2 linked regions of the Stegostoma tigrinum genome follow. The protein of the gene in region 1 purifies or fractionates together with the protein of each later gene. This does not show direct contact. Links are inferred from orthologs where the notes say so. Each region holds a gene or a part of one and is shown in the gene's direction. Other genes may lie near its edges. The genes, in order: foxj1b and cdk20.

Region 1 (14,852 bases):
TCAGAGACTCAGGTCTCAGGAAAAGGAAACAAATAAAAAGGCTTTCAGAACTCAACTATTGCTCTTCTCACAGAATCTAGGTATTTTGCAAATGTCATAACTGTACAGCTAGTGAGGAACAAGGAAGCATCTCCATGTGTTGTGCTAACTGAATACACCTTTAGAAGCATTCTCCAAGTATTTTACTATAGAAGCCATTAGAACTGCTAAATTCAGACTAAGTTTTCATTCCTTTTAAATCTGAAAGAGAAATCTTGAAGCGAGTAACATGCCTGCATCAATAACGGACTGCTCTTACTTCACATTTTATCTCTTATCCATACCTTTATCAAAACTTTGCATTTTTAGCTAATAAATTCACAAGTTTCAAATCTGTCTTTCTTGAAGCTGAGGTTACATTCGACATGACATTGTAGGAATGGCATGTTGCTATGGTTCGAGGTGTTGTTAAATGACATTCCCACCTACACTTACATTTATGGCAGTAAGTACACCTTCACCTTGTGGTGCAGACTCACTCATACACTGAGATGCCTCAGCTGCTCACTTCACTCCGAAGTCAAACTTTGTGTATTGAGGGAAGTCCAAAGCCTGGAACAGGAAATGATTTCTTTAGCCAGTGGTTAGAATCTGGAATGCTCTGCCTGGGGGGGTGGGGGTGGGTGCAGAAGGCTAGATTGACAAAGGGGAGTTGGATATGGACATGGAGAGAAAATGTTTGCATGAGGGACGAATTAATTTGCTCTCGCAGAAGACTAACTAACATTCATTCCCCATCCATCCGCTGTGCCCAGAGTAAAATAAAAATTGGCCTTCCTGAACACAGCAGGCCAAGCGGCATCAGAGGAGCAGGAAAGCTGACGTTTTGGGTCTAGACCCTTCTTCAGAAATGGGGGAGGAGAAAGGGGGTTCTGAAATAAATATGGAGAGAGGGGGAGGTGGATAGAAGATAGATAGAGGAGAAGATAAGTGGAGAGGAGACAGACAGGTCAAAGAGGCGGGGATGGAGCCAGTAAAGGTGAGTGTAGGTGGGGCGTTAGGGAGGGGCTAGGTCAGTCCAGGGAGGACGGAGAGGTCAAGGGGGTGGGATGAGGTTAGTAGGTAGGAGGTGGGGGTGGAGCTTGAGGTAGGAGGAGGGGATAGGTGGAAGGAAGGACAAGTTTGGGAGGCGGGGATGAGCTGGGCTCGTTTTGGGATACAATGGCGGGGAGGGGAGATTTTGAAGCTTGTAAAGTCCACATTTGATACCATTGGGCTGCAGCGTTCAACTATCTCTAAGAAGCCTACTGTTAGATTCTTTGACTGGGCAGCACATACGAATCTATCCTGATTGTGATGAGAGCTGCATTAAAAATCCATTTCAGATAATCAGTCAAGCTCATAATCTACAGTTCCTACTATCTCTGAAACTCATGTTTGCTGGAAGTGACTGACATCCCATCCTCCCCGTCACCTTTCCTAAATATCCCTCCTTTGCTTTCACTCTATTCCTCCATTCCACGTCCTTGCTGCTCCTTCTCCCGCCAATTCTCCTCCCCGCCCCACGTCCCTCACTGCCCCTCCTCCCCGCCCCACGTCCCTCACTGCCCCTCCTCCCCGCCCCACGTCCCTCACTGCCCCTCCTCCCCGTCCCACGTCCCTCACTCCCCCTCTTCCCCGTCCCACGTCCCTCACTCCCACTCCTCCCTGCCCCACGCCCCTCACTCCCTTTCCTCCCTGCTTCACATCCCTCACTCCCCCTCGTCTCTGCCTCACATCCCTCATTACCCCTTCCTGTCCCCAGTTCACATCCTCACTCTCCCCGTGCAATCTCCCCATTCCAATGTTGTGTTTCTTCTCTGTGTGAGCATGGTGTGGCCTCTGCTGTCATATTGTAAAAGTGAGGTGGTGATGTATTGGGTCTGGAATTGTGGAGCTGCAGTTTCTGGTGTTTGGTGAGTGGCCACTGTCTTTCGACAACAGACATAATGCACCGGGTGCTTTTGTTTCCATTGAGTTCTTCATGGCAACACGTCAACCAATGAGAGTCAATTTGCCAACCAATCAGCTGACCATTTCTCTTGTGGTTAAAATCTTTGTCTTGGTTTGGCTTTCTCGTACTTGTCCTGATGCGTGTGCACAATGAAAAGCTTAGGCAACACTTCTTTAAGCAAGATTATCATTCTGTCCCAGCAAGTGACTGTGTAAAACATTTAAGATAACGAAGTGTGGTGCTGGGTGAAGACAACAGGCCAAGCAGCATCTTAGGAGCAGAAAAGTTGACAGTTTGGGCCTAGATCTTTTAATTAGACAGAATTTTTGTCAACAAAGGTCAACATTCAATTTTTTGTTTGATGTCCGGTCATTAGTTCTTGATTTATTCTGGAGGTGACTTCTCTTAAATCCCCGCATTGACCAACAAACCATGGAATAAATACAAACCATAATTAAACAATCTAAATTAATATTTAAGATGCCACAAGGGACCATCAAATGGCACAAGGATAACAAAAGGTGACAAGCATAAACAGACCAAATAATTGCACAAACCTTTGACTAATATTTTAGCCTAAATTATTTTGTCAAAGCTGCAGTGTGAAACAACCTGTCCGTTCCAGATTCAAGACCATGCATCACTCTGGGAAGAGCAGGTGGGTCTTGGATGGTGACTGGCACTTGGTCAGGAGCAGGACGGGGCATGCTGGGAGAGGCAACAATGTCTAAGATAGGAACACTGCAATGTTCCTTATCCACATGGAGAACTCTGCCTGGCTCCTGCAGAGAAGGGAAGGCCGAAAGCTGGTTTCTTTATGTTTTTTCAGAGCCAGATCATCTGCAGTGTCTTCCATGCTCAGAGTTAAGTTAAAATTGTCAATTTATGAAGTGCGCACATGGCTTGGCTGTACTGTCAATAGCCTACCTGCTCCAGAGGTGTGATGTACATGTAATACAATGTTGTTAAAAATATCTACATTGAAACCCTTGCCAACCCAGAGAGTTTTGTGGTGCTTGGTAGAATAAGATGAAAGCTTTGTTAAGGATCTCAATAATTTTAATTGTTCAGGCCCCCAGGATTCCATCAACTGAGCAAAACTCACCCTCTTCAGTGTTTGTTCGGTGACCTGATATTATATATTATTCCCAGAAGGTGGCAGCATAGTCAGTGTTACAGTTCCTGCATCAGCAAGTTACATTTCAAATAACAAGACAGGTGACATTTTCTGGAAATTCCTTTTGAAGTGTGGAACTGGTTAATCTGACATAAACGTAAAAAGTCTTGATAAAAATAGATGAAGGCTATCCATCACCTTTTCATTTGACACACGAGTATTTTCGTGAAATAATTTCTGCTGTTTTTCAGTTGTTTATGTGTGATGTAAACTGTAATCAAAATGATTTGTGAAGCTTTTAACTTCCTCCTCACAGAAAAAATAAAGTTCCATTTCACTGCCCCTTCAGCTGATCCTTTTACCCCTTTTTAAAACCAGAATTACTTACAGCAAATTGTCACGTTGGTTGTTATTGGGCAAACTCAAGAGCAGAGAAATAAAGTGGCTCACTAGCATTTTAATATTTTGTTACAAATATTGTAGCTGACATGAGGAAGAGAGGCTTGGAATAGTAAAAACTTGTTTAAACATTGTAACATTTAAACATTATCATTAAATAGAGAAAGCTGTAAAATGCAGGCAATGTCTAAAATTCTTCAAATCTTTGGAACAATTTTGATCAAAGTTAAAATGTTGCACAATTAAAATATTATTATAGAATTCCAGCATGTTACATTTATTTTATCACATTATCCAAATGTATTTTATGAAATTTTATTCAAAATGAAAAATAATCCTCTTTCATTTGAGATTAATTTCACAGCTGTATTGGACTAGTGCTGGGTGTCTGCTTTGTTAAGAAACCTATTTTATTTTAACATTCCTGACATCTGGGAAACGCAGATCTTACTCATACCTTCCTGGAATGGAAGAGGTTTCAGATATATAATAGGATTTCTTTTTGATTGTGTCAAATTTCCAAGGAGCGTCTCCCATTTGTATTCTTCCTCAAGAAAGTAAGAAGCAAATCAAGTCCTTACTCTCGGACCTAATCCAATGAGCAATCCCACTGGAATAACAAAGCCTTGAATAACAAGCTGGCTTACTTACAAACATAAAAATAGCAGCAGCAGTAGGCCATTTGGCCCTTCAGGTCTACTACACCATTCATGGCAGATCATCCAAGTCACTTCCCAGTTTTGCCCCATACACTTTGATCCTTTTAAACTATACCCAGCTCCTTCTTGAAATCATTTATTGTTTTGGCCTCAAGTGCTTTCTGTGGCAGAAAATTTCACACGGTCACTATTCATTTGGTGAAGACATTTCTCCTCATCTCAGTCTGAAATGACATACCAATAGCCTGTGACCTGGAAGCCTGGGAATTTGGGAACTTTGACTATGATGCAGGAATTGGTTTAGGGATAATATTTGATGCGGTCGGTATTTGGGCTGGAAATCTGTAGATGGGAAAGAACAGTTTGTGGGTATTGTAAAGTTGGTTGGGAGTACCCTGAACTGGAACACAAGTCAAGAGCAGATCAGTTGGCTGGTCATGTGTAATGGAGTGGTCAGCTCATTTGGTTTTCAGAGGCTTCCCTTTTCCTTTGTTCGTTTAATGGGCATCGCAGGGGCAAGGTCAGTAGAAGTTTCCAGCAGAGGGCAGCCAAGAGTCAATCCTAATGCAATGGGCCTGGAGTCACCCAAAGGCTAGGAAGGGAGACTATGAAGAGTGACTGAATTGACTAGGGCTATATTCACTGAGGTTTAGAAGAATGGGGTGGGAGGGCGTTCTCATAGAAACCTATAAAATTCTGACAGGACTAGGCAGAAAGGAAGGAGGGATCCTGATGACACAGGAATGCAGAACTACGGGGTCAAAGTCGAAGGATGCAAGGTGTGCCACATCAGACTGAGATGAGGAGAAATGGCTTCACCCAGTGAGTGGGGAGCCTGTGGAATTTGCTGCCACAGAAAGCGGTTGAGTTCAAAACATGGAATGTTTCAAGAAGGAATTAGATATGTTTCTTAGGGCTAAAGGGATCAAAGGGTATGGGGTAGAAAGGAGAGGGGGGTGGTGTGCAGGGGCTGTGTTTATAGGGAAGATAATGGCCTACTGGTATTAACACTGAACTGTTAATCCAGAAACTTGGGTGACATTCTGGGGACCTGGGTTTGAATCCCACAGCAGCAGATGGTGAAGTTTGACTTCAATAAAAATCCAGGATTAAGATTCTAATGTTGACCATGAATCTGACTGTTGGAAAAACCCATCTGGTTCACTAGTGTCCTTTAGGGAGGGAAACTGCCATCCTTACCTGGTCTGGCCTACATGTGAATCCAGACCCACAGCAGTGTGGTTGACTCTTAACTGCCCTCTGGGCAATTAGGGATGGGCAATAAATGCTGCCAGTAATGACCATTTCCTGTGAATAAATAAACGAAAGTTGGATGATCAGCCATAATAATCAGTGTCAAAAGGCCCCATAGCCCAGTCCTGCTCCTAGTTTATATCTTTCTACGCTCAAGGATGTTCTAGAACTGGGAGATTATTATATGTTTATTACAACAGCAATCTTTGCTGCAGTATCGAACTGTATATTCTCGATCGCTATGAGTCAAATTGAATTGAGACCTCCCCCATGGTTGTGTGGATAGCGAGTATCTGTAAGGCACTGGCTGTGTCTCTGAGGGAGCAGGACATGAGCTCAGTGTGTGTCAGAGGGAGAGGGACTGGGGCTCTGTGTGATTCAGAGGGAGAGGAACTGGGGCTCTGTGTGTGTCAGAGGGAGAGGGACTGGGGTTCTGTGTGTGTCTGAAGGAGAGAGGGACAGGGGCTCTGTGTGTGTCTGACAGAGAGAGACAGGGGCTCTGTGTGTGTCTGACAGAGAGAGACAGGGGCTCTGTGTGTGTCTGAGGGAGCGGGACTGGGGCTCTGTGAGTGTCTGAGGGAGAGGGACAGGGGCTCTGTGTGTGTCTGAGGGAGAGGGACAGGGGCTCTTTGTCTGAGGGAGAGGGACAGGGGCTGTGTGTGTGTCTGTCTGAGGGCGAGGGACAAGGGGCTCTGTGTGTGTCTGAGGGAGAGGGACAGGGGCTCTGTGTGTGTCTGAGGGAGAGGGACAGGGGCTCTGTGTCTGAGGGAGAGGGACAGGGGTTCTGTATGTGTGTCTGAGGGAGAGGGACAGGGGCTCTTTGTCTGAGGGAGAGGGACAGGGGCTGTGTGTGTGTCTGTCTGAGGGAGAGGGACAAGGGGCTCTGTGTGTGTCTGAGGGAGAGGGACAGGGGTTCTGTATGTGTGTCTGAGGGAGAGGGACAGGGGCTGTGTGTGTGTCTGTCTGAGGGAGAGGGACAGGGGTTTTGTGTGTGTGTTTGGAAACTCTCTCTCTATCTCGAGTTGCAGCTCTCTCTGCCTTTCCTCATTGGGAGAGCAGTGAAAGGTGAGACCTGGAGACGGGTGCCCAATCATCTGCTTGGGATCTGTTTAAAGGCGACCGAGTAGCCGAGAGGGGGGGGGGGGCGGGTGGGAATGAAGGGATCAGCCTAGCCTATCGTGCACACGGCGTTAGATGTGAAGCCAGCGCTGAGGAGTAGCGCACATTGCTAGCCTGCAGCCAGACCCCAGTTCGATTCCAGCTTTCGCCCCCGCCCACCCTCCCCTCCCCTTACCCCAGGCTGCCGGAGTGTGTCTGGAAGCAGAATAAAACGGAGCCTGGTCTTTCAGTGAGGGAGTTACTGTACCCGCCAGGATTTCTTCGGAGGGTCAGGTGAGAGAATCTGAAACGCAACAGGTTCCATAGAGCGGCAGAAGTATATTATATTTGCAGCTTTCGGGAAAACAAACAAACAAACAATGCAGCTGGTTTTGGAGAGGTGTTCGGAATATTTGGAGAGCTCTGTGAGGGGAGAGGTCATGATTGAGGATGTCAAAAGCAATGCGAGGTTAATGATTCTCATTTTAACCCCCCTCCTTCCTGCTGCATTTTGTCGGTTTCAGTCTGTTTGTAACACGGAGCAACTGCGTCGTATTGCCTGGGTCTCCGTCAGTGCAAAACTGAGCAAGTTCTTTTTTTTGTTAAAAGAAAGAATCTGACTTTATTTTTGCACTGCACCCTGAAAAATGCAGCACTTTTGCATTCAGCGTGTTAATAATCCTGCGTTTTTATTTCACTCCCTCAGCCTTGCCAAGAAAGTTTCGATTCCGCGCTGCAAGCGACGGGAAGCGTTGCCGGTTGAGCGAGAGAGAATGCCCGTTCTGACTTCTCCAGAAATCGCCACGAAATTCAAGGAGAACTGGATGATGCTGCACCCGGATGATCAAGATAACGTGAACGGTGCTGTAAACCTGGACGACAGTCTGACCAGCCTTCAGTGGCTGCAGGATTTCTCCATCCTCAGTGCCAACCTGGAGAAGCCTGCTGGTGCCCAGCATCACTGTAAGCAGCAGCACACACCCGGCTCAGACTCCCCTGCTTCACCTCCAGCTGGCGATACCGCTGCCAGTGGTGTGCCAGCTGGCCTGGGCAAGACCACCTCGGCTGTGGCTGGCACCAAGACCTTGATTCAGGCTCAGCCTCCTTCCCAGAGCCCAGCAGAGGATGTTGACTACAAGACAAACCCCCATGTCAAACCACCCTACTCCTACGCCACGCTTATCTGCATGGCCATGCAAGCCAGCAAGAAGAGTAAAATCACCCTGTCTGCCATTTATAACTGGATCACCGACAACTTCTGCTACTATAAGCACGCTGACCCCAGCTGGCAGGTAGGTGGTCAAGCTAACACAGTCTTGCAGCTTCAGACTCTCCACTGTTGAATTCTTTACTGACTTGTACTTAGAGACACAGGAAACAGACCCTTCGGCCCAACTCATCCAATCTGACCAGTTTTTCTGACTAAATAGTCCCATTTAGCCCATATCCCTCTACACCTTTCCTGTTTGTGTACCTGTCCAAATATCTTTCACATGTGTTATTGTGGGAGCCTCCTCTGGCAACCCTCTGCGTGAACAGGTTACTGCTCAGGTCCCTTTTAAATCTTTCCCCTCTCACCTTAAACGTATGTCCGTTAATCTGGGGCTCCCCTACCCTAGGGGAAGGTCCTTGACTATTCACCTTATCCATGCCCCTCGTAATTTATAAGGTCACCCCTCAGCCTCCGACACTCCAGTGAAAAATGTCCCAGCCTCTCCTTATAACTCAAACCCTCCAACCTCAGTAACATCTTGGTAATCCTCTTCTGCACCCCTGCATGTTTGAACAGTAATTGGCGTATCATCAGTATTATCTCTAAAATGCCATCTCCTCTCTCTGTACCTTTTTAAGCTGAATTACAGTGGGGCAGGGGAATGGTGGCATCAATGGGAAGTGCAGTCTGAGTTTCGGTCTGGGGTTTCAGCCTCTCCTTAACGTTAGCTGAGGTCCTCCCAAAGCCAGGAGAGAGCTGAACCGCATCTCTGCAGCCCTGCTGCTGTGGATGCTATCCTCTCACTGCACAGAAAGCAACTTGGATATATTCTGTAAACTTGCTGGCCAAGGAATACTGCACAGACACTGCTGTGCAAGCCAGTTTTCCAGTTTCTGGAGCAAGATTCTTACTTGAGTATGTCTTAGCTCCCTAGCCCAGTATACATCAGCTTGTTTGGTACAGTCAGCGGGATTCAGTTTAAAGAATTACTTCACACAACAAAGAATTGAAGGCAAGATATTTGTTTTCTTGCAGGCAAGCCACCAAATGTGACGCATCGATATGTTACTCAATGTGCATTTTTGTGTTTGGAATTATTTTTGCACTTTTTTGACTAATTGTAGAATGTGAAATAATGACAGTGGAATAGTTGGCAATCTTTCTCCAAGAAAAGGCAGTAGGGGGAGCAAGATTTCAGCGTGGTGTCGTTCTATTTATCAAGTGCTGACTTAACTGATTGGTCAGCCAGACAGGGACTGTATCACCTTTCATTCCCACTTTGGTGATGAGAGTGTGAAAATTTATCTTTTGGGATCTTGACCAGTACCGGAAAAGGTGCACTCATCTTCCTTAAACAGAACCAATTGGGAAACCAGTCATCCAGAGTCCTGTAAGATTCGTACTCCCCAGACTGATAGAGTACTTTAGACAGTCGACAACAGACTCAATGAAGAATTCAACAGAAAGCTCTTTATCCCGAGACTGGTCAGAATATGCGAGTCACTGGTGAATAGTTGACGTGAGGAGCTTGGATGCATTCTGAGGGAAAACCAAGGTAAACACATGGGGAAAATGAAATAGCAGCATTGAATAACACAGTGCAGATGGAGACCATTCAGCACAGCAGAGCTGTGCCAATCCCTGGTTACATCTATCCAGTTAGACTAAATTTCAGACCTTTTTTCATCGTAGTTAAACAATATTTTATTTTTTCCAGGTTTAACCCAGCTCCTTCTTGCTGGTTATTGTTCAGTTTGCGTCCATCGGGCTTTCAGGCAGTGCATTCCAGACCAGAACTCCTTCCGGTTTTCTTCCCCAGGTTGTCCTCTCTCTTCTCTTATCCAGTTAGTTTTGATTTGTATCCTCTCTGGTTCCTGATCGTTATGCAACAGGGAATAATTTCTCCACATTCACACTGTTAGGAACCTTTGTGACTGTGAACCCCTCGATTAAACCTCCCTTTCACCTCCTCAGCTCTGAGGAGAACCATTGCTTTTGAGTTTTGAATCTTCGTGTCTGAGTCTTGGAGTCACTCTAGCAGAGGGCCCATCAAGCTCAATGCTGACTTTCTGTTGATTTACCCAGTCAACTTTGAGTTGATTTCCCACAAGTACCCATTCAATTTACCATTGAGATTGTTCATCGTCTCTGCATCCACCTCCCTGGCAAGTGGGAAGTTATTTCTCACAACCCTTAGTGTATTTTACCCAAGCATTAATCCTGTGCCCCCTAGTCCTGGTGCCAACTGCTAACAGATAACTGAAGTCCTGCATTCCTGATGCCATTCTAGAAAATCACTATCTCCAAGACTTTGACTTTGCAGAATTGGCCCCAGTGCCCTAGTGGAGCCTAGCCAGTATCTTATGAAGATTTAGTGTAACCTTCCTGCTTTTGTTCTCTATATCTCTATCATATCCAGCATGTGCTTTTAACAGTCTTTCGACATGAGTGGCTACCTTCAAATATTTATCTATGTATATCCCCAAGTCACTCTGTCTTGTGTTCCCTTTAAAATTATATCATTTAGTTTCCCTTGTCTCTCCCAAAACTTCGAGAAAATGCGTCACTTCACACTTTGTTCTGCTATATTTCATCTGCCACCCTGTCTGCACGTTTCACCAGGCTGATGTTTGATACTGTACACTCCATTGTTTACCACATCTTCAAGTTTCCAGTCATTTGCAAACTTTAAAATGAAGCCCCCTATATCCAAGTTCACTCAGATCATGAATGTGCCTCAAAAAGCGATTACTAAATTGACGCTTAGAGAATACCACTGTGCACATCTGTCCGGTTTGAAGATGACCATTCAGCAGTTCTGGCTGCTGATTAGCCAGGTTTGTGCCTTGCTGTATTTGCCCTTTCTGTTTGAATGACTGCAAACGCCTACACCTCCTGCTTTATCCTCACCATCCAACCACCCATTCTCTCATCAAAGAACTCCATTAAAATAGAGAATAGAGGTTTGGGATGATATGGTTAAGGGAGGTAAGGTAGGAGGAGGCTTGGATAGATTATAAACACTGGCGCAGAGCAACTGGGCTGGTATGTATTCCTATTAATTCTGCAGAATTCCTGATTCTCATTTTCCTTTGTTTTGGCTTAGCATAAAAATTACCATAGCAAGTTACTTATACAGTAACATAGTGGTTAGCACTGCTGCCTCACAGCACTAGGGACCTGGGTTCGATTCCAGCCTTGGGTGACTCTCTGCATGGAGTTTGCACATTCTCCCCTGTGTCTGTGTGTGTGTTTCCTCCACGTGCTCTGGTTCCTCCCACAGTCCAAAGATGTGCAGGTTAGGTGGATTGGCCATGGGCAATGCAGAGTTATATAGATAGGGTAGGGAGGTGGGCCTGGGTAGAATACTCTTTGGATAATCAGTGTGGACTGAATGACCAGTTCCCACACTGTAGGTGTTCTGTAATTCACACAAGAAGTGTCAATGCTCATTAGCTTTTGCTTTGTCCATTTTGACAGAAAAGTTAAGAGGAATTCTCTTCCATGTTAAATTACTGATGTTTTAAAATTGCTTGTGAGTTGTCAAAATAAATTATCACACGAAGACAAACCTATGGTATTAACTGTGGCATTCTCTCTGCGCTGTGCACAACATCATGATTAATTTGCATAGAATAAAAATTATATGTAAGATCTATATTATCAAAATCAGCTCAGCTTCAGGTAGCTAACAACAAATGTAGACAGCAATGAAATTAGCCATACTTGCAAGGACAACCTCCTTATGATTCATTACTTACATCCTTAATTATATTGCTCTCCACCCTTCCAGTTACACAATAGTAATAGAGCTTGCGACATGTGAAATGATGTTGAGGAGAGTGTACCTTTTGTATTGTAGCAACCTGCTTGGTCCTTGAATATAGGCACATTCTCCTGTAGTTATTTCCCAATCAAAGGCTAGAGGCCTCAGGTTAGGAAGCAACAAGAGAACTTTCTTACCTGAAAGATATCCATTTCCCTGTACTCCCAATTCTAAATATTGTACCTTCCTTGTTTATCAGCATTAACGTTACCAATCAAATCTCATTGACATTTGGATGAAGAGTGTGAAGAAGCTTCATTCTTTAGTGGACTATATAGAAAGATGGCAGCTCATAAAGGACCACTTGGTTTTCAATGGTTGTCCAAATCAGGAACTCTCAGTTGTAAAATGGCTGAGAATGAATTGAAAGTTGAACATTGCAATGTAACTTTTAGATCAAATTAATTAAAAACCAAATGAAGTATTTGCCTTGATTCTCACTAAAGAAGGGAAATATTGTGATTTAAGCAGTCTGGATTTGATCCAAAGATAGCAGGAACTGCAGATGCTGGAGAATCTGATATAACAAGGTGTAGAGCTGGATGAACACAGCAGGCCAAGCAGCATCGGAGGAAATTTCATTTCTGAAGAAGGGCCTCGGCCCGAAACGTCAGCCTTCCTGCTCCTCTGATGCTGCTTGGCCTGTTGGATTTGATCCAGATTTTATTTTACAGGCCATAATTGCACCTATCCCCGATTGAGAGTCTCCTATTACTAAGGGATAGTTGCTAAGAAATCATGTTGGAGCTTCTTGTTTGATCTCTTGTGTTTTGACAGAACTTTTATTGAATTTGATTCACGTCTGGCTATAGTTCATGCATCAGTGCTCAAACACTCTGCCTCATTGTCTGCATCAGTAAAGTAAGCATCTGGAAATTTTATAGCATCCAGAAGATAACTTCAATTCTGCTGCTCCCATAACATTTGTTAAATATTTCTAGGGTAATCTTTCAATAATCTGAAGCTCTGCTTGCTGTTTTAATATTTCTGATCATTTCTGTTTGTGCAATCTGAATTTGAAAGCCTGGCAGCCATCCTGCTGGATGGTAATTTAACAGCCTGAAACAGCATGGGTAAGCAGCATCGTCAATGTCATGCATATGTATCTAGAGCTGGACTTATTCCAGTTGTGATTTTGCGTTTCAACTTACTCTGCTGTAACCTGCTTGTTGGTTGAGTTTTGGTAGATCTGAACAACACATTAAATGGTTCCAGAACAGCGTCCCTCCAGCATCACTGCTTTTGACAGGACACCAATTATATTTTGGTGGAGCGAAGGATGAAAAGAGCTATGAGTACGAATCTCAGCAGGCGTTATTATCTTTTAATGGAGAAAGTTATTCAAAGACGTGAGACTGTACAAATGACTGGCTTATTTTAAAGACACTCTGCCAGCACTGACCATTTAATGCCTTTCAGGCTGTTTCAAGTGATTTTTGCGTTATACCAAATACTTCCTTTTGTTTGTTTTTCACAAGGATATACCCCCAACCCCAGGCCCAACAAGTTTCCCACTCCCCTGCAGTCTCTTGTTTCATGGCTCAGTGGTTAGCACTGCAGCCTCACAGTGCCAGGGACCTGAGTTCGATTCCACCCTCGGACGACTGTCTGTGTGGAGTTTGCACATTCTCCCCGTGTCAGCATGGGTTTCCTCCGCGTGGCTCTGGTTTCCTCCCACAGTCCAAAGATGTGCAGGTTAGATGGATTAACCATAGGAGAATGCAGGGTTATAGGGATAGGGTAGTGGAATAGTGGTTGGATTTTCAGTGTGGACTCGATGGACTAAATAGCCTGCTTCCACACTGTAGGGATTCTATGGAGGGGGTATGGTTCCTTTTGAGGTTGATTAGCTTTTAACACTATACACAAGTGCCCATTATTTATGTGTAAAACTCTGTAGGATCAGGAGAGTTGATCAGCTGAAACCGTCCAACCCTGGCTGTAGATGAAGACAGGGGAAGTGTAAATGATTGGCTGGCTGTCAGGATTGCAACTCCTGGCTTTTTAACTCCTTTGGAAAGGCACTAAGCTAACATTATGATCTCCATTCAAGTGGAGGTGTAGGCAGAGTAATAATACCACTGGGGTGGTAATCCGGAATCACAGGCTAATTGTTCTGGCAACAGGAGTTCAAGTGCCACCGTGGCAGCTGGTGAGCTTTGAATTCAATAAAAATGTAGAATGAAAAGCTGGCGTAATGATGACCTTGTGTCCATTATTGTAAAAACCCATCTGGTTCACTGATGTCCTTTAGGGAAGGAAACTACCATCCTTATCTGGTTTGGCCTACATGTGACTCCGGACTCAAAGCAATGTGGTTGACCCTTTACTGCCCCATGGGCATTTAGGGATGAGCAATAAATGCTGGCCTGGCCAGTGCCAACTACATCCCATGAATGAATTTAGTTAACATTAATCAACTCAACACAGACTAGGCTGAACATTTTGTGAAGCATTCTCCTATTGGCCAGTTCTCTATGAAAATAGCAGAAAACGTGTGATTTCCTTTTGACCATGTTACTGTACAGTGGAGTTACCTTCATGAGTTAAAAGCATGAAGAAGCTAATTTCTCCAGTTCCCATTCTAATCTAGTGATATCCACTTCCAGTGTTCCAGGGGTCTGTTTCATTAATGCCTGTGATACTACCCAGCATGATTCACATAAAGCTGAGTGGTTGGGCAAACAATAGAATGATTTGGATCAGGTGGAAGGGAATAGAGGGATATGGAAAGATATTGGAGTGGAGGAATGGGAATGGAGGAGTTGGTAGAGGGTTGGAGCAAAGTTATGGGGTGGTGTAGCTTTGGAGGATGGGTTGCAGAGAAGAAAAGATTTTTTGCTTGTGTTGATTTTGTCCTGTTAGAATTTCCAGGACACTGAAGTTTCGAAATGTTTTTTCTTCATATTATTGGCTCACTGATGGATAAATCCTACATCACAGCAGCAAGATCCATGACTATAAGCAACTTCACAGCTATGAAAATTATTGGAACATATGTTTAAATGTCATGATACTCCTGGTATACATCTATGTAGCAATGGAAGATCTCCAACATGGTTGGTGTACAATCTGTTCTTGAGCATTTGTTATCTTAGAGTCATTTATGGCAGAGAAGAAAGTCATTTGACCCATCTAGTCGGTACAAAGGAATCTGGTCAATCTCATTTTCTCCACTCGATCCCTGGAGCCCTGCACTTCCTATTGTTCTAGCATATCCTGCCTGTTCTCATACTCTGTGACTCAGCTAATAAAGGAAATTCTAGATCACCTGTCTCCCATGTTCAGGGATCTGCAGATTTGCACTCTGAGTT
Region 2 (15,432 bases), on another chromosome or scaffold:
CGTACAGGTTTCCCAAACCAAACGTGTCCCATTTCCTTCTAAACCTTTCCGATACAGGTACCTGTCCAAACTTCTTTTAAATGTTGCAACTGTACCTGCGTCGACCACATTCTCTGGCAGGTCATTCCATACACACACCATCCTCTGCGTGAAACCGCTGCCCCTCAGGTCCCTTTTAAATCTTTCGCCTCACACCTTAAGCCTATGCCCTCTAGTTTTGGACTCCACAATGCTGGGGGGAAAAGGATTCAGCCTCTGCCTGGAGGATTGTGTCCAGTCCTGACATTAGAGTCCCAATCACCAGTCACCCCATGTTCGCTGGCGACACTCTCCTCATCCATTTTTTTCCAGCCCCTTACACTCCCTCCCTGACTCTGTCACCCCCTCCAGCCGCCTACATCCCTCCCTGTCGCCTCCTCCAGCCCCGACACCCCTGCCCTATCACCTCCACCAGCCCCTTTCGTGCCCCCCACCCTATCTCTGTCACCCCCTCCAGCTCCTACACCCTCCCTATGTAGAATACAGTCAGAAATCGCATGAAAGCAGGTATTATAGTCCAACGGGTTTATTTGAGAACAAACTTTTGGAGCCTCAGCCCTTCAGATGTTAGTGAGAGAGGCAATATCAGACACAGAATTTATCAGTACAAGATCAAAGGCCCACGCCACTGACGAGGATGTATTAAACAACCCTAAGATGCTGTTAAATCTTTAATCAGTTTGAGGGTTTTAATTGATCAATATGTGTATGTAAATCCCTGAGTTTGTTTTAAGTTACAGTCCTGAGAGAACTAAAGGTTTTACCATTGTAAAGAAGAGACGGGACTTTAGGTCAGACAATAACGTTAGGTGTGAGACCCAGTTCTGAGGAAGGGCCACTGGACCCGAAATGTTAACTCTGTTTACTCCTCCACAGATGCTGCCAGACCTGCTGTGCTTTTCCAGCAACTTTGTTTTTGTCCGATGTATAGACCTTGTTTAGAATCTGTTTGTGTTTTGGTTTGAAGTCAGACAGGGTGCGTGTGCGCGCACGTGGCAGGGGCGGAAGAGGTGAGTGTGTGTATGGGGTCAATTTGTATTTGCAGATATATTTTGTTCAAAAAGCACACAATGTACAGACAGTCAGTCAATGTGATGTTCTACAAATTCCTACTTTAAAAATAAAACCAGTCTGACTCCAAACCGAAACACAAACAGATTCTAAACAAGGTCTATACATCGGACAAAAACAAAGTTGCTGGAAAAGCTCAGCAGGTCTGGCAGCATCTGTGGAGGAGAAAACAGAGTTAACATTTCGGGTCCAGTGGCCCTTCCTCAGAACTGGGTCTCACACCTAACGTTATTGTCTGACCTAAAGTCCCGTCTCTTCTTTACAATGGTAAAACCTTTAGTTCTCTCAGGACTGTAACTTAAAACAAACTCAGGGATTTACATACACATACTGATCAATTAAAACCCTCAAACTGATTAAAGATTTAACAGCATCTTAGGGTTATTTAATACATCCTCATCAGTGGTGTGAGCCTTTGATCTTGTACTGATAAATTCTGTGTCTGATATTGCCTCTCTCACTAACATCTGAAGAAGGTGCAGTGCTTGGAAAGCTTGTGTTTTTGAATAAACCTGTTGGACTATAACCTGCTGTTGAGTGATTTCTGACCTTGTCCACCCCAGTCCAACATTGGCACCTCCACATCAAATTTGGAATACAGCCCTCCCTAAACCTGGGGACAGCAGGAACTGCCGATGCTGGAATCTGAGATAACAAGGTGTGGAGCTGGATGAACACAGCAGGGCGAGCAGGAAGCTGACATTTTGGGTCTAGACCCTTCTTCAGAAAAGGGGAAGGGGCTAGAGGGGGGTAACAGACAGGGCTCTGAAATAAATGGGGAGGGGGCGCGGTGATAGAAGGTGGATTGTGGAGCAGATACATGGGAGAGAAGACGGACAGGTCAAGGAGACACGGATGAAGCTATAAAGGTGAGTGTAGGTATGAAATTGGAATGGGGGTTGGTCAGTGAGGAGGGAGGAGTGGACAGGTGGGAGGGAAGATGGATAGATGAAGGAGGCGGGGATGAGAGGGGGGGTAATGGTTTGGGATCAGGTCAGAGGGTGAGGAGATTTTGAAACTAATGAAGTACATTGGGTTATAGGCTATCCAGCAGAATATGAGGTGCTGTTCTTCCAGTTTTTGGGTGGCATCGTTGTTGCACTGGAGGAGGCCTAGGATGGACATGTCGCCCAGGGAGTGGGAGGGGGAGTTGAAGTGGTTCACAACTGGGAAGTGTTGTCTTTATTGCGAACGGAGTGTGGGTGTTCCACAAAACGGTCTCCGAGCCTCCGCTTGGTCTCGCCAATGTAGAGGAGGCCACATTGGCAACAGCAGACACAATAGACCACGTTGATGATGTGCAGGTGAATGTGGAAGGTTTTCTTGGAGCCTCGGATAGAGGTGAAGGGTGAGGTGTAACGGCAGGTGTAGCACCTCCTGTGGTTGCAGGAAAAGATGCTGGGGGTGGTGGGGCTGCTGGGGAGTATGGGGTGGATGAGCAAGTCGTGAAGAGAGTGGTTCCTCCAGAAGGCAGATAAGGGTAGGGAGGGAAGTATACCCTTCTTAGTGGGGTCAGATTGCAGGTGGCCGAAGTGGCAGAGAATGATGCGTTGAATCCAGGGGTTAATGGGTGATACGTGAGGACATGGGAGATTGTGTCTTTGTTTTTATTGTGGAGAGTGGGTCTGAGAGCTGAGGTGCAGGAAACAGAAGAGATGCAGTTGAGGGCAGTTTCGACCAATGGGATGGCGCTGGGGGGAATTACGGTCCTTGAAAAATGAGGACATCTGGGATGTCCGGGAGTGGAACGCCTCATCTTGGGAGCAGATGCAGCGGAGGCGAAGGAATTGGGAATAGGGGATCACATTTTTGCAGGAAGGTGGGTGAGAGGAGGCGTATTCTAGGTAGCTGTGTGAGTCGGTGGGCTTGAAATAGATATCAGTTTCAAGGTTACCAGAGACGGTGACAGAGAGGTCCAGGAAGGAGAAAGAGGTATCAGAGAGGTCCAGGTGAACTTGAGGTTGTGGTGGAAGGTGTTGGTGAAGTGGATGAACTGTTCGAGCTCCTCGTGGGAGCACGAGGCGGAGCCAATACAGTCATCCATGTAACGGAGGCAAAGGTGGGGTTTAGGGCCTGTGTAGGTACGGCAGGGGGATTGTTCCACATAACCTAAAAAGAGGCAGGCATAGCTTGGGCCCATGTGGGTACCCATGGCCACCCACTTTGTCTGTAGGAAGTGGGAGAAATCAAAAGAGAAGTTGTTGAGGGTGAGGTTGAGTTCAACTAGGCGGATGAGGGTGTCAACGGAGGGGAACTGGTCAGGCCTGGGGGACAGGAAGAACCGGAGGGCTTTTAGGCTTCCCTAAAGCTCCCTGACTCTTCCTTTCTCTTGTCCGCAACTTTATGATGATCCTTGAAGACAAACCTGGCTGAGGTTTTGGTCACTTTTCCCTGAAATCTCGTGTGTGTGGCTTGGGGCTCAATCCACACTCCTATAATCAATTAGGGGCCCAGAAGTATGGTAAGGGTGCTACACTAACCTGTTATAACACATGGCATGTTACTGAATAAAAGTAGCACACACTAAATAATCACTTTGTAACACACAAGAACCTTGCTGTAAACACAGACATCATCAGGACATGCTTAAGAATTTAAATTTCATGAGAAGCAAGACCTTTGTAATTGCATGCAGCATTGCCAGGGATAGGCCTACAGGTTGCTCAGACTCCTGGTTAATTCCAAAAAGGGGTTTGACCGATTGTCTTAAATGGTTTGTTCAGGGGAGTTACTCATGCAACTGGGACTGCTCAGCAAATAGCTGGCAGATGATCACCCAAGATACAGGGTGTTGGTGACTCCCAGTCTGTGCAGGTGTAGTGACAGGGTGGGGGAGGAAGGGGTCACAAATAAAAGGGGACCCCCCCACCCTACAGGACAGTAATCAAAGAACCGCTACAGTGCGGAAGCAGTCTATTTGGTTCATCCTACCCAGAATCGCCCAGAAGGACAACCTTCAGGTGAACAGGCTTCGTCATTGATTCAGCAATATCCAGTGGGGAGACGGCAGGGTTCTGAAACAGAGAATGGGGCACATGTTACCAGGAATAACAGGACTGGTTTGTTCAATGGGATAAAATGGTAAAGTCACGACAGTCATGCTGCAGGGAGACACGGATTCAAATCCCACCATGGCCCCGGGAGAATTTAAATTCAATTCATAAAACCAGGAACTGAGAGCTAGTCCGAACCATGACAAAGAATGTCAATTCATGTACAAATCCATCAGGTTCACAAAAGTCGATGGAGGCAGGGAAATGTGCCACCCTCACCCCATCTGGGCCTACACATGACTCCAGCCTCACGTTGATTAGCAACAGGCAACAAATATTGTTCTGACCCACAACACCCACATCCCACAAAAGAACACAGAGAAAATAAAATGGGTTTTACTCATTTAAGGTATCCACGTGGAAATTGGGACTGCCGTATATAGGCATTTTCATTTGGAAAAAAATCAGAATGTTCCAGGAAGGCAACAAGGATCTACTTATCCAGAGATTTTCTCAAACTCAAAGTGTCACAAACCCCCTTCATGGCAGACAACTTTCCTGAAGTGGGCTTCACCCTTATAAGATGACCCTCCAACAGTGCCCCCTCCCTCAGTGCTGACCCTCCAACAGTGCCCGCTCCCTCAGTGCTGACCCTCCAACAGTGCCCGCTCCCTCAGCGCTGACCCACTGACAGTGTCCACTCCCTCAGCACTGACCCTCCGACAGCGCCCACTTCCTCAGCACTGACCCTCTGACAGTGCCCGCTCCCTCAGCACTGACCCTCCGACTGTGCCCGCTTCATCAGCGCTGACCCTCTGACAGCGCCCACTTCCTCAGCACTGACCCTCCGACAGCGCCCGCTTCATCAGCGCTGACCCTCTGACAGCGCCCACTTCCTCAGCACTGACCCTCTGACAGTGCGGCGCTCTCTCAGCGCTGACCCTCTGACAGCGCCCGCTCCCTCAGCACTGACCCTCTGACAGTGCAGCACTCCCTCAGCACTGACCCTCTGACAGTGCCTGCTCCCTCAGCACTGACCCTCCGACAGTGCGGCGCTCTCTCAGCGCTGACCCTCTGACAGCGCCCGCTCCCTCAGCACTGACCCTCTGACAGTGCAGCACTCCCTCAGCACTGACCCTCTGACAGTGCCCGCTCCCTCAGCACTGACCCTCCGACAGTGCGGCGCTCTCTCAGCGCTGACCCTCTGACAGCGCCCGCTCCCTAAGCACTGACCCTCTGACAGTGCCCACTCCCTCAGCACTGACCCTCCGACAGTGCGGCGCTCCCTCAGCGCTGACCCTCCGACAGCGCCCGCTCCCTCAGCGCTGACCCTCCAACAGCGCCCGCTCCCTCAGCACTGACCCTCCGACAGTGCCCGCTCCCTCAGCACTGACCCTCCGACAGTGCCCGCTCCCTCAGCACTGACCCTCCGACAGTGCGGCGCTCCCTCAGCGCTGACCCTCCGACAGTGCCCGCTCCCTCAGCACTGACCCTCCGACAGTGCCCGCTCCCTCAGCACTGACCCTCCGACAGTGCCCGCTCCCTCAGCACTGACCCTCCGACAGTGCCCGCTCCCTCAGCGCTGACCCTCCGACAGTGCCCGCTCCCTTAGCACTGACCCTCCGACAGTGCCCGCTCCCTCAGCACTGACCCTCTGACAGTGCCCGCTCCCTAAGCACTGACCCTCTGACAGTGCCCGCTCCCTCAGCACTGACCCTCCGACAGTGCCCACTCCCTCAGCACTGACCCTCCGACAGTGCGGCGCTCCCTCAGCGCTGACCCTCCGACAGTGCCCGCTCCCTTAGCACTGACAATCCTTTCTAAAGGAGATTGGTGAACCAGATGGGTCTTTACACTGCTTCCACGGTCAAGATCTATTCTTAATGTGGGATTCGAATTGGGGTTCCGGGAACGTTACCTGACTGTGGGGTTAACGCTTAGCGACAACACTACTTGACATCGCCTCCTCATTGCATTCTCATCACTCGCAGTAATTACACACTGATTTAGTAGGAGACAGAAACATTTGTAAGTAAACACTTTGTGGCGCAAATGTGCGCAAAATGCGTTAAATTCACGTCCCTGCGGACGTTTGAATTGCAGCATCAGACAAACTGAGCTGCGGGTACAATCCTCTTGTCACAGGCAGGACCCAATCTCAGTGAATTATAAAATGCAGGTAAACATTGCCCCGCTACCCAATCTCTCTCCGAATCAAAACTCAACTAAATGGACAAGAACCGGCCTCTCACCTCGGGGCTGAGAGACAGACAGTGAAAGACTAAGCAAAACCCCGGGGCCTGTCAATTGTCGGGAATCTGACAAAGTTTTTCTTTTGTTTGACATATGAAACAAACCAAATGGGGGAAGAGGGATATTCACACCTTACCCACCCTGTCGCAGGTACAAAGCAAATTTATCGCCTTTCAATCCCCAACTTTACTCTCAAGTTAACCAAAGTTTTCAGGGAAGTAATTGCCACTTCCGTGTTTTGTCAAATCCAGTTCCCCGCTGGAGCTCACCAGCTCCCAGCTTCTGGGAGGGAGGTTTTCTTCTTGTTCGACACTCCCCAGGTCTGTTTCTGAAGTTCTCCGGCCTCATGGGGGCGGGGGAGACAGCGACAGACGTGCCTCCTTTCTGGGATCGCTCTGCGACTGTCACTGGGTCTGCACCGGCGACAAACCCATTCACTGGGAAAGGGCCAGTTAAACCAACACAGTGCGGGCTCCTTCTCTCAGTGTCTCTGCAAACCGCGCCGCATCCCAAACTCTCCGGCCCCCTCCCGTCCCCTATATCCCCTCCCCATCTCCCTCCCCTCCTCCAGACCCCTATATCCCCTCCCCATCTCCCTCCCCTCCTCCAGACCCCTATATCCCCTCCCCATCTCCCTCCCCTCCTCCAGACCCCTATATCCCCTCCCCATCTCCCTCCCCTCCTCCAGTCCCCTATATCCCCTCCCTCTCTCCCTCCCTCTTTCCCCTCCTCCAGTCCCCTATATCCCCTCCCCATCTCCCTCCCCTCTTCCAGTCCCCTATATCCCCTCCCTCTCTCCCTCCCTCTTTCCCCTCCTCCAGTCCCCTATATCCCCTCCTCCCGATCTCTTTCCCCTCCTCCACTGCGCTATATCCCCTTCCTATCTCTTTCCCCTCCTCCAGTCCCCTATATCCCCTCCCTCTCTCCCTCCCTCTTTCCCCTCCTCCAGTCCCCTATATCCCCTCCTCCGTATCTCTTTCCCCTCCTCCAGTCCCCTATATCCCCTCCTCCGTATCTCTTTCCCCTCCTCCAGTCCGCTATATCCCCTCCCTATCGCTTTCCCCTCCTCCAGTCCCCTATATCCCCTCCCTCTCTCCCTCCCTCTTTCCCCTCCTCCAGTCCCCTATATCCCCTCCTCCGTATCTCTTTCCCCTCCTCCAGTCCCCTATATCCCCTCCTCCGTATCTCTTTCCCCTCCTCCAGTCCCCTATATCCCCTCCTCCGTATCTCTTTCCCCTCCTCCAGTCCCCTATATCCCCTCCTCCGTATCTCTTTCCCCTCCTCCAGTCCCCAATATCCCCTCCTCCGTATCTCTTTCCCCTCCTCCAGTCCCCTATATCCCCTCCTCCGTATCTCTTTCCCCTCCTCCAGTCCCCTATATCCCCTCCTCCGTATCTCTTTCCCCTCCTCCAGTCCCCTATATCCCCTCCTCCGTATCTCTTTCCCTTCCTCCAGTCCGCTATATCCCCTCCCTATCGCTTTCCCCTCCTCCAGTCCCCTATATCCCCTCCTCCAGTCTGCTATATCCCCTCCCTATCGCTTTCCCCTCCTCTAGTCCCCTATATCCCCTCCCCCTCTCCCTCCCTCTTTCACCTCCTCCAGTCCCCTATATCCCCTCCCTATCTCTTTCCCTTCCTCCAATCCCCTATATCCCCTCCCTCCCTCTATCCCCTCCTCCAGTCCCCTCTATCCCCTCCCTATCTCTTTCACCTCCTCCAGTCCCGTATACCTCCTCCCCACCCCTGTCACCTTCTCCCTATCCCTGTAACCCCGTCCAGCCCCTAATGGGATTAGAATACCTAGGTGGCAGGGTTATGATGACCTTGGGGACCTCCACGACATACACTCATGAAGAGCGGAGGGAATGGGGCAGGTTCAACAGGCCACCTCCAGGAAGCCCCATCAGTCTGCCTTCGTTCCATGGACTGTCCCTTTAAGGGGGCGGTGACATTTCCGCGCGGTAGTGGGCGTGGTTGCCCTCGGCGGATGGGGTCGTGCGCGATGACATCACGCCTAAGTACGGCGGCCGTAAGGGAGGATGACGTCGCACCGCCCCCGTTGCCCTGGCGACCCCGCGGCCTAACCCGCAGGCTTCAGCCGCAAGCCGCCGGGCTCCGCGGGGTTGAGCCATGGAGCAGTACAACATCCTTGGCCGGGTCGGGGAGGGGGCACACGGAATCGTGTTCAAGGCTAAGCATATCGAGGTGCGGCCCGCCCACCCCTCCCAGTATTTGACACCCACCCTCCTGAGCCAGGGACCAGACCCCGAGACCATTCGGCCCGTTGGCTCCATTCTATCCCACCGCTGACATCGTGCCTTTCCTGACTATCCTCACATGCGGTCTCTCGCCTCCTGTCTCTATCCCCACCTTCCATGAGACATAGGATCAGGAGGTTCATGATGTCCGGGGACCGTTCGGCCCCTCCAGCCTGCTGGCCCCAATATTCCTGATGTCCCTTCCATTCCCCGGCCCACCATGAATCTGTCTCGGCCTTCAATATACGCCGGGACCCGGTCCCCCCCAACAGCTCTCTGTGGCAAGCAGGTCAGCGAGGAAACAGACCCTTGGGTCCAACCTGTGCCAACCAAATGTCCAGAATTAATCGAGCCCCATGTGCCAGCGTTTGGCCCATATCCCACTAAATCCTTCCTATTCATGGACCCATCCAGATGCCTTTTAAATGTAACTGTACCAGCCTCCAACACTTCCTCTGGCAGCTCATGCCACACACGCACCGCCCTCTGAATGAAAACGTTGCCCCTCAGGTCCCTTTTAAATCTTTCCCCCTCTCTCACCTTCAACCTGTGCCCCTCCAGTTTTGGACTCCACTGGCCCTGGGGAAATCCAAAGACTCTCAACCCTCCCAGAACGAGCCATGAGGAGATATCGGAAAAACCTGCAACAAAACGAGCAGTTGCTGGAAAAGCTCGGCGGGTCTGGCAGCTTCTGTGAAGAAGAAAAGAATCAGAGTTAACCTTTCGGGTCCGGTGACCCTTCCTCAGGAGTGTCAGAAGTCTGAATCTTCTTCCCAGAGTTGAAATGCATTTAAGATGAGAGTGGGAAAGTTCAAGGGGGGGACGTGAGGGGCAAGTTTGTTCCTGATTTACAACATCCGCAGTTCTATAGGTTTTTTTTTAATCTGGAAAAGCCAGGGTTATTTCCTCTGAAGTGGCTTTGGAGAGGGTGAAAAAGAGAGTGCTGCCTGGATTAAAGGGTATGAGCTGCGAAGAGAGGGTGAAAAAGAGAGTGCTGCCTGGATTAAAGGGTATGAGCTGCGAAGAGAGGGTGAAAAAGAGAGTGCTGCCTGGATTAGAGGGTATGAGCTGCGAAGAGAGGGTGAAAAAGAGAGTGCTGCCTGGATTAAAGGGTATGAGCTGCGAAGAGAGGGTGAAAAAGAGAGTGCTGCCTGGATTAGAGGGTATGAGCTGCGAGGAGAGGGTGAAAAAGAGAGTGCTGCCTGGATTAGAGGGTATGAGCTGCGAAGAGAGGGTGAAAAAGAGAGTGCTGCCTGGATTAAAGGGTATGAGCTGCGAAGAGAGGGTGAAAAAGAGAGTGCTGCCTGGATTAGAGGGTATGAGCTACGAGGAGAGGGTGAAAAAGAGAGTGCTGCCTGGATTAGAGGGTATGAGCTACGAGGAGAGGGTGAAAAAGAGAGTGCTGCCTGGATTAGAGGGTATGAGCTACGAGGAGAGGGTGAAAAAGAGAGTGCTGCCTGGATTAGAGGGTATGAGCTACGAGGAGAGGGTGAAAAAGAGAGTGCTGCCTGGATTAGAGGGTATGAGCTGCGAAGAGAGGGTGAAAAAGAGAGTGCTGCCTGGATTAGAGGGTATGAGCTACGAGGAGAGGGTGAAAAAGAGAGTGCTGCCTGGATTAGAGGGTATGAGCTACGAGGAGAGGGTGAAAAAGAGAGTGCTGCCTGGATTAGAGGGTATGAGCTGCGAGGAGAGGGTGAAAAAGAGAGTGCTGCCTGGATTAAAGGGTATGAGCTGCGAGGAGAGGGTGAAAAAGAGAGTGCTGCCTGGATTAGAGGGTATGAGCTGCGAAGAGAGGGTGAAAAAGAGAGTGCTGCCTGGATTAGAGGGTATGAGCTACGAGGAGAGGGTGAAAAAGAGAGTGCTGCCTGGATTAGAGGGTATGAGCTACGAGGAGAGGGTGAAAAAGAGAGTGCTGCCTGGATTAGAGGGTATGAGCTGCGAGGAGAGGGTGAAAAAGAGAGTGCTGCCTGGATTAAAGGGTATGAGCTGCGAGGAGAGGGTGAAAAAGAGAGTGCTGCCTGGATTAGAGGGTATGAGCTGCGAAGAGAGGGTGAAAAAGAGAGTGCTGCCTGGATTAGAGGGTATGAGCTACGAGGAGAGGGTGAAAAAGAGAGTGCTGCCTGGATTAGAGGGTATGAGCTACGAGGAGAGGGTGAAAAAGAGAGTGCTGCCTGGATTAGAGGGTATGAGCTACGAGGAGAGGGTGAAAAAGAGAGTGCTGCCTGGATTAGAGGGTATGAGCTGCGAAGAGAGGGTGAAAAAGAGAGTGCTGCCTGGATTAGAGGGTATGAGCTGCGAAGAGAGGGTGAAAAAGAGAGTGCTGCCTGGATTAGAGGGTATGAGCTACGAGGAGAGGGTGAAAAAGAGAGTGCTGCCTGGATTAGAGGGTATGAGCTGCGAAGAGAGGGTGAAAAAGAGAGTGCTGCCTGGATTAGAGGGTATGAGCTGCGAAGAGAGGGTGAAAAAGAGAGTGCTGCCTGGATTAGAGGGTATGAGCTACGAGGAGAGGGTGAAAAAGAGAGTGCTGCCTGGATTAGAGGGTATGAGCTACGAGGAGAGGGTGAAAAAGAGAGTGCTGCCTGGATTAGAGGGTATGAGCTACGAGGAGAGGGTGAAAAAGAGAGTGCTGCCTGGATTAGAGGGTATGAGCTGCGAAGAGAGGGTGAAAAAGAGAGTGCTGCCTGGATTAGAGGGTATGAGCTACGAGGAGAGGGTGAAAAAGAGAGTGCTGCCTGGATTAGAGGGTATGAGCTACAAGGAGAGGGTGAAAAAGAGAGTGCTGCCTGGATTAGAGGGTATGAGCTACGAGGAGAGGGTGAAAAAGAGAGTGCTGCCTGGATTAGAGGGTATGAGCTGCGAAGAGAGGGTGAAAAAGAGAGTGCTGCCTGGATTAGAGGGTATGAGCTACGAGGAGAGGGTGAAAAAGAGAGTGCTGCCTGGATTAGAGGGTATGAGCTGCGAAGAGAGGGTGAAAAAGAGAGTGCTGCCTGGATTAGAGGGTATGAGCTGCGAGGAGAGGGTGAAAAAGAGAGTGCTGCCTGGATTAGAGGGTATGAGCTGCGAAGAGAGGGTGAAAAAGAGAGTGCTGCCTGGATTAAAGGGTATGAGCTGCGAGGAGAGGGTGAAAAAGAGAGTGCTGCCTGGATTAGAGGGTATGAGCTACGAGGAGAGGGTGAAAAAGAGAGTGCTGCCTGGATTAAAGGGTATGAGCTGCGAGGAGAGGGTGAAAAAGAGAGTGCTGCCTGGATTAGAGGGTATGAGCTGCGAAGAGAGGGTGAAAAAGAGAGTGCTGCCTGGATTAGAGGGTATGAGCTGCGAGGAGAGGGTGAAAAAGAGAGTGCTGCCTGGATTAGAGGGTATGAGCTGCGAAGAGAGGGTGAAAAAGAGAGTGCTGCCTGGATTAGAGGGTATGAGCTACGAAGAGAGGGTGAAAAAGAGAGTGCTGCCTGGATTAGAGGGTATGAGCTACGAGGAGAGGGTGAAAAAGAGAGTGCTGCCTGGATTAGAGGGTATGAGCTGCGAGGAGAGGCCAGAAAAACTTGGGTGGTTTTCTCTTGAGCAGCAGAGGCTGACAGGAGACTCAATAGAAGTCTGAATCTTTTTGCTAGAGTTGAAATGACTAACACTCGGAGCGTGCATTTATGGTGAGAGGGAAAGTTCAAAGGAGATGTGAGGGGCAGGTTTTTTTTTAAACACTGAGAGTAGTGGGAGTCTGGAACGTGTTGCCAGTGGTGATGGTGGTGGCAGATATGATTGGGGCTTTTAGATAAGCACATGAATACTTAAGGAATGGAGGGATATGGACCAATGGCAGGCAGAAGGAATTAGTTTAATTTGGTGTTTGATGTTTGACTCAATATCGTGGGCTGAAGGGCCCTTTCCTGTGTTGTACAGTATTAGGTACTAGAAGATATTCCTCCCCGTCACAGTCTTAAACTGGCACCCCTTTATTCTGAGACTATGCCCTCTGGACCTAGACCTAAGGGGAAAAATCCTCTCAGCATCTACCTTTTAAAGTGAGAGGAGAGAGATTAAACGAGACACAAGGGGGCAAAATGTATAAATAGAGGCTGGTTTGTGTGTGGAGTGAGTGGATGTGGGTACAATTACAACGTTTAAAAGACATTTGGATAAGTACATGAATAGGGAAGGTTTAGAGCGATATGGCCAAGGAGGAGACAGGTGGGACTAGTTTAGTTTGGGATTATGTTTGGCATGGACTGGTTGGACCAAAGGGTCTGTTTCTAGTGCTGTATGACTCTATGGCCTTGTCAAGACCCTCAAAGAATTCTGTAAGTTACACTGAGGACATTCTTCCAAACTCCAGTGAGTAGAGGCCAACTGGTTGAACCTTTGGTACTCAGACAATCCATCCGTAATTTCAAATAATGTTGACCTTGCTTTTATGCAACTTGATTGCAGCCGTAACCTTGCCTACCTCACTCTGTCTAAGCACCCTATGATCTGTATGTCCTGCTTTGCTGTGACCTGCTCGCAAAACTTTTCACTGTACTTGGGTACATGCGACAACAATTAATCATTCATCCAAATGACTCTTCAGATTCCATTACTGATTAAAACTTTCCATCTTACCCTCGAACATATTTAGTGGCCCAGCCCACTGCAGTAAAGAATTCCACAGATTCACTACCTTCTGAGGGACAAAAAAATCCTTTTCATCTCTGTCTTAATTGTACAACCCCCTTCTGAGATTATTCCCTCTGGTCCTAGACTCTTCCACAAGGAGAAACAATCTTTCTGCATCTACCCTGTGAAATTCCCTCACAATCCTGTATGTTTTTATAAGGTCCCTATCAATCTTCTAAACTCCAGTGAACACAGGCCCAATCTACTCAACCTTTTGTCATGAGACATTCCCTTCATACCTGGGAATCAGCTGAGTCAACCTTCTCTGGACTGTGCCAGTGCCAGTCTCTCTTTGCTTGCATAATGGGATTAAAACTGTTCACTGTGTTCCAGGTGCGGCTGTCACCCTGTGAGCACAACAGCTTATATAGACATGGTAATAAAATGTGAGGCTGGATGAACACAGCAGGCCAAGCAGCATCTCAGGAGCACAAAAGCTGACGTTTCAGGCCTAGACCCTTCATCTGATGAAGGGTCTAGGCCCGAAACGTCAGCTTTTGTGCTCCTGAGATGCTGCTTGGCCTGCTGTGTTCATCCAGCCTCACATTTTATTATCTTGGATTCTCCAGCATCTGCAGTTCCCACTATCTCTGAGCTTATATAGACATTTTCTGTTTGTTCTATTTGTGCTTTTAGACAGGAGAGACAGTTGCTCTCAAGAAAGTTGCCCTGCGGAAACTGGAGGATGGAATTCCGAACCAGGCCCTGCGGGAGATTAAAGCTCTTCAGGAAATTGAGGACAATCAATACGTGAGTATGGATCAGCGAGAGCTTTACGTTCCTGCCCTAGGAGTGTTTCATAGGGGGTGCTGTAGAGGTAGCATTACACTGTATCTAACCCCATGCTGTCCCTGTCCTGACAGTGTTTGATGTGGTGCGAAGGGAGCTTAACACTGTCTCTGACCCGATGCTGTCATTGTCATGAGAGTGTTTGATAGAGGCCAGTGTGGAGAAAGCTTTATTTTCCAACTAAAAAAGTAGAGAGCTTTACTTAGTCTAACTGCGTGCTGTCACTGTTCTTTATTTGCATTCCGTCATAGTTGCTATCCGAAGTTTGTAAGTTTAGGGAGCCAAGAACTGGGGACCTTCAGGATTGGAGTTTCCATTTCTGAGTGTTTACTGTGCCCTTACATTGATTGATTGATTGTCCTGTGTACTAGAATACAGTGAAAAGCTTTGTTTACCAGCAATGCAGGCAGATCATTAGTAAGCAAGGATGTACGGGTCAAAAAGACTTAGACAGAGGCGGAGTGTGCTAGGCAAGATCAGCATCATTTGAGGTTAGAAGGTCCATCCATCAGTCTAATAACAGCCAGGAAGATGCTGTTCCTGAAGCTGTTGGTGCATGTGTTCAGGTTTCTGTACCATCTGCCTGATGGAAGAGGGTGTAGGAGATCATTACCAGGGTGTGATGGGTCTATGATGATGCTGGCTGCCTTTCTGTGGCAGTGAGCTGTGTAAATGCAGTCCATGGATGGAAGGTATAATGCTGTGATGGTCTGGGCTGTGTGCACCACCTTCAGTAGTTTCTTACAGTCCTGAGCAGAGCAGTTTCCGTACCAGGCTGTTATGCACCCGGACAGTTTGCTTTCGATGGTGCATCTGTAGAAGCTGGTGACTGACCTTATGGACACAGCAAATTTTCTGAGCTGCCTGAGGAAGAGGATGGCATTGCTGTACCTTCTTGACATCGCGTCTATGTGGGAAATCCAGAACAGGTTGTCAGTTATCGTCACTCCAAGGAAATAACATTGCATTAACTGGTCTCTTGGCACACAGTCGGCGCTCTGCTCTGTTACAGCACCTGCTGTGTCTCAACAGTGGTCATTGGAAGCAGTGTGGCACCCCTATTGTGAACTGCCAGAAGCCTTGCCCCCTCCAGTGGTGTGCCTCAAGGATCTGTTTTGGGACCACTGCTGTTTGTTATTTTTATAAATGACTTGGACACAGGCATTGGTGGATGGGTTAGTAAGTTTGCAGATGACACTAAAGTCAGTGGAGTGGTGGACAGTGTGGGAGAATGTTGCAGATTGCAGGGAGACTTGGATAAACTGCAGAATTGGGCCGAAAGGTGGTAAATGGAGTTTAATACAGATAAATGTGAGGTGATTCACTTTGGGAGGAATAATAGGAAGGCAGAATACCGGGTCAATGGAAAGATTCTTGGTAGTG

What was found.
Region 2: the proteins of foxj1b (region 1) and cdk20 purify together in Homo sapiens (affinity purification with mass spectrometry; 3 studies listed by BioGRID and IntAct, counting the BioPlex papers as one, with this or other methods). This does not show direct contact. The link is inferred for Stegostoma tigrinum from reciprocal best matches to the Homo sapiens genes FOXJ1 and CDK20.

The regions. Positions count from the first base shown.
Region 1 is NC_081376.1:5,683,805-5,698,656, forward strand, and holds the start of foxj1b (forkhead box protein J1-B), read left to right. Parts: upstream 1-6,865; 5' UTR 6,866-6,879; coding exon 6,880-6,968; intron 6,969-7,205; coding exon 7,206-7,791; intron 7,792-14,852. UniProt on the Homo sapiens protein: Transcription factor specifically required for the formation of motile cilia. Acts by activating transcription of genes that mediate assembly of motile cilia, such as CFAP157.
Region 2 is NC_081402.1:3,298,318-3,313,749, reverse strand, and holds the start of cdk20 (cyclin-dependent kinase 20), read left to right. Parts: upstream 1-8,389; 5' UTR 8,390-8,485; coding exon 8,486-8,560; intron 8,561-9,153; coding exon of another isoform or gene 9,154-9,304; intron 9,305-13,896; coding exon 13,897-14,010; intron 14,011-14,883; coding exon of another isoform or gene 14,884-14,956; intron 14,957-15,432. Other genes in the region: ras-related protein Rab-7a-like, read right to left, coding at 4,042-4,124, 9,154-9,304, 14,884-14,956. UniProt on the Homo sapiens protein: Required for high-level Shh responses in the developing neural tube.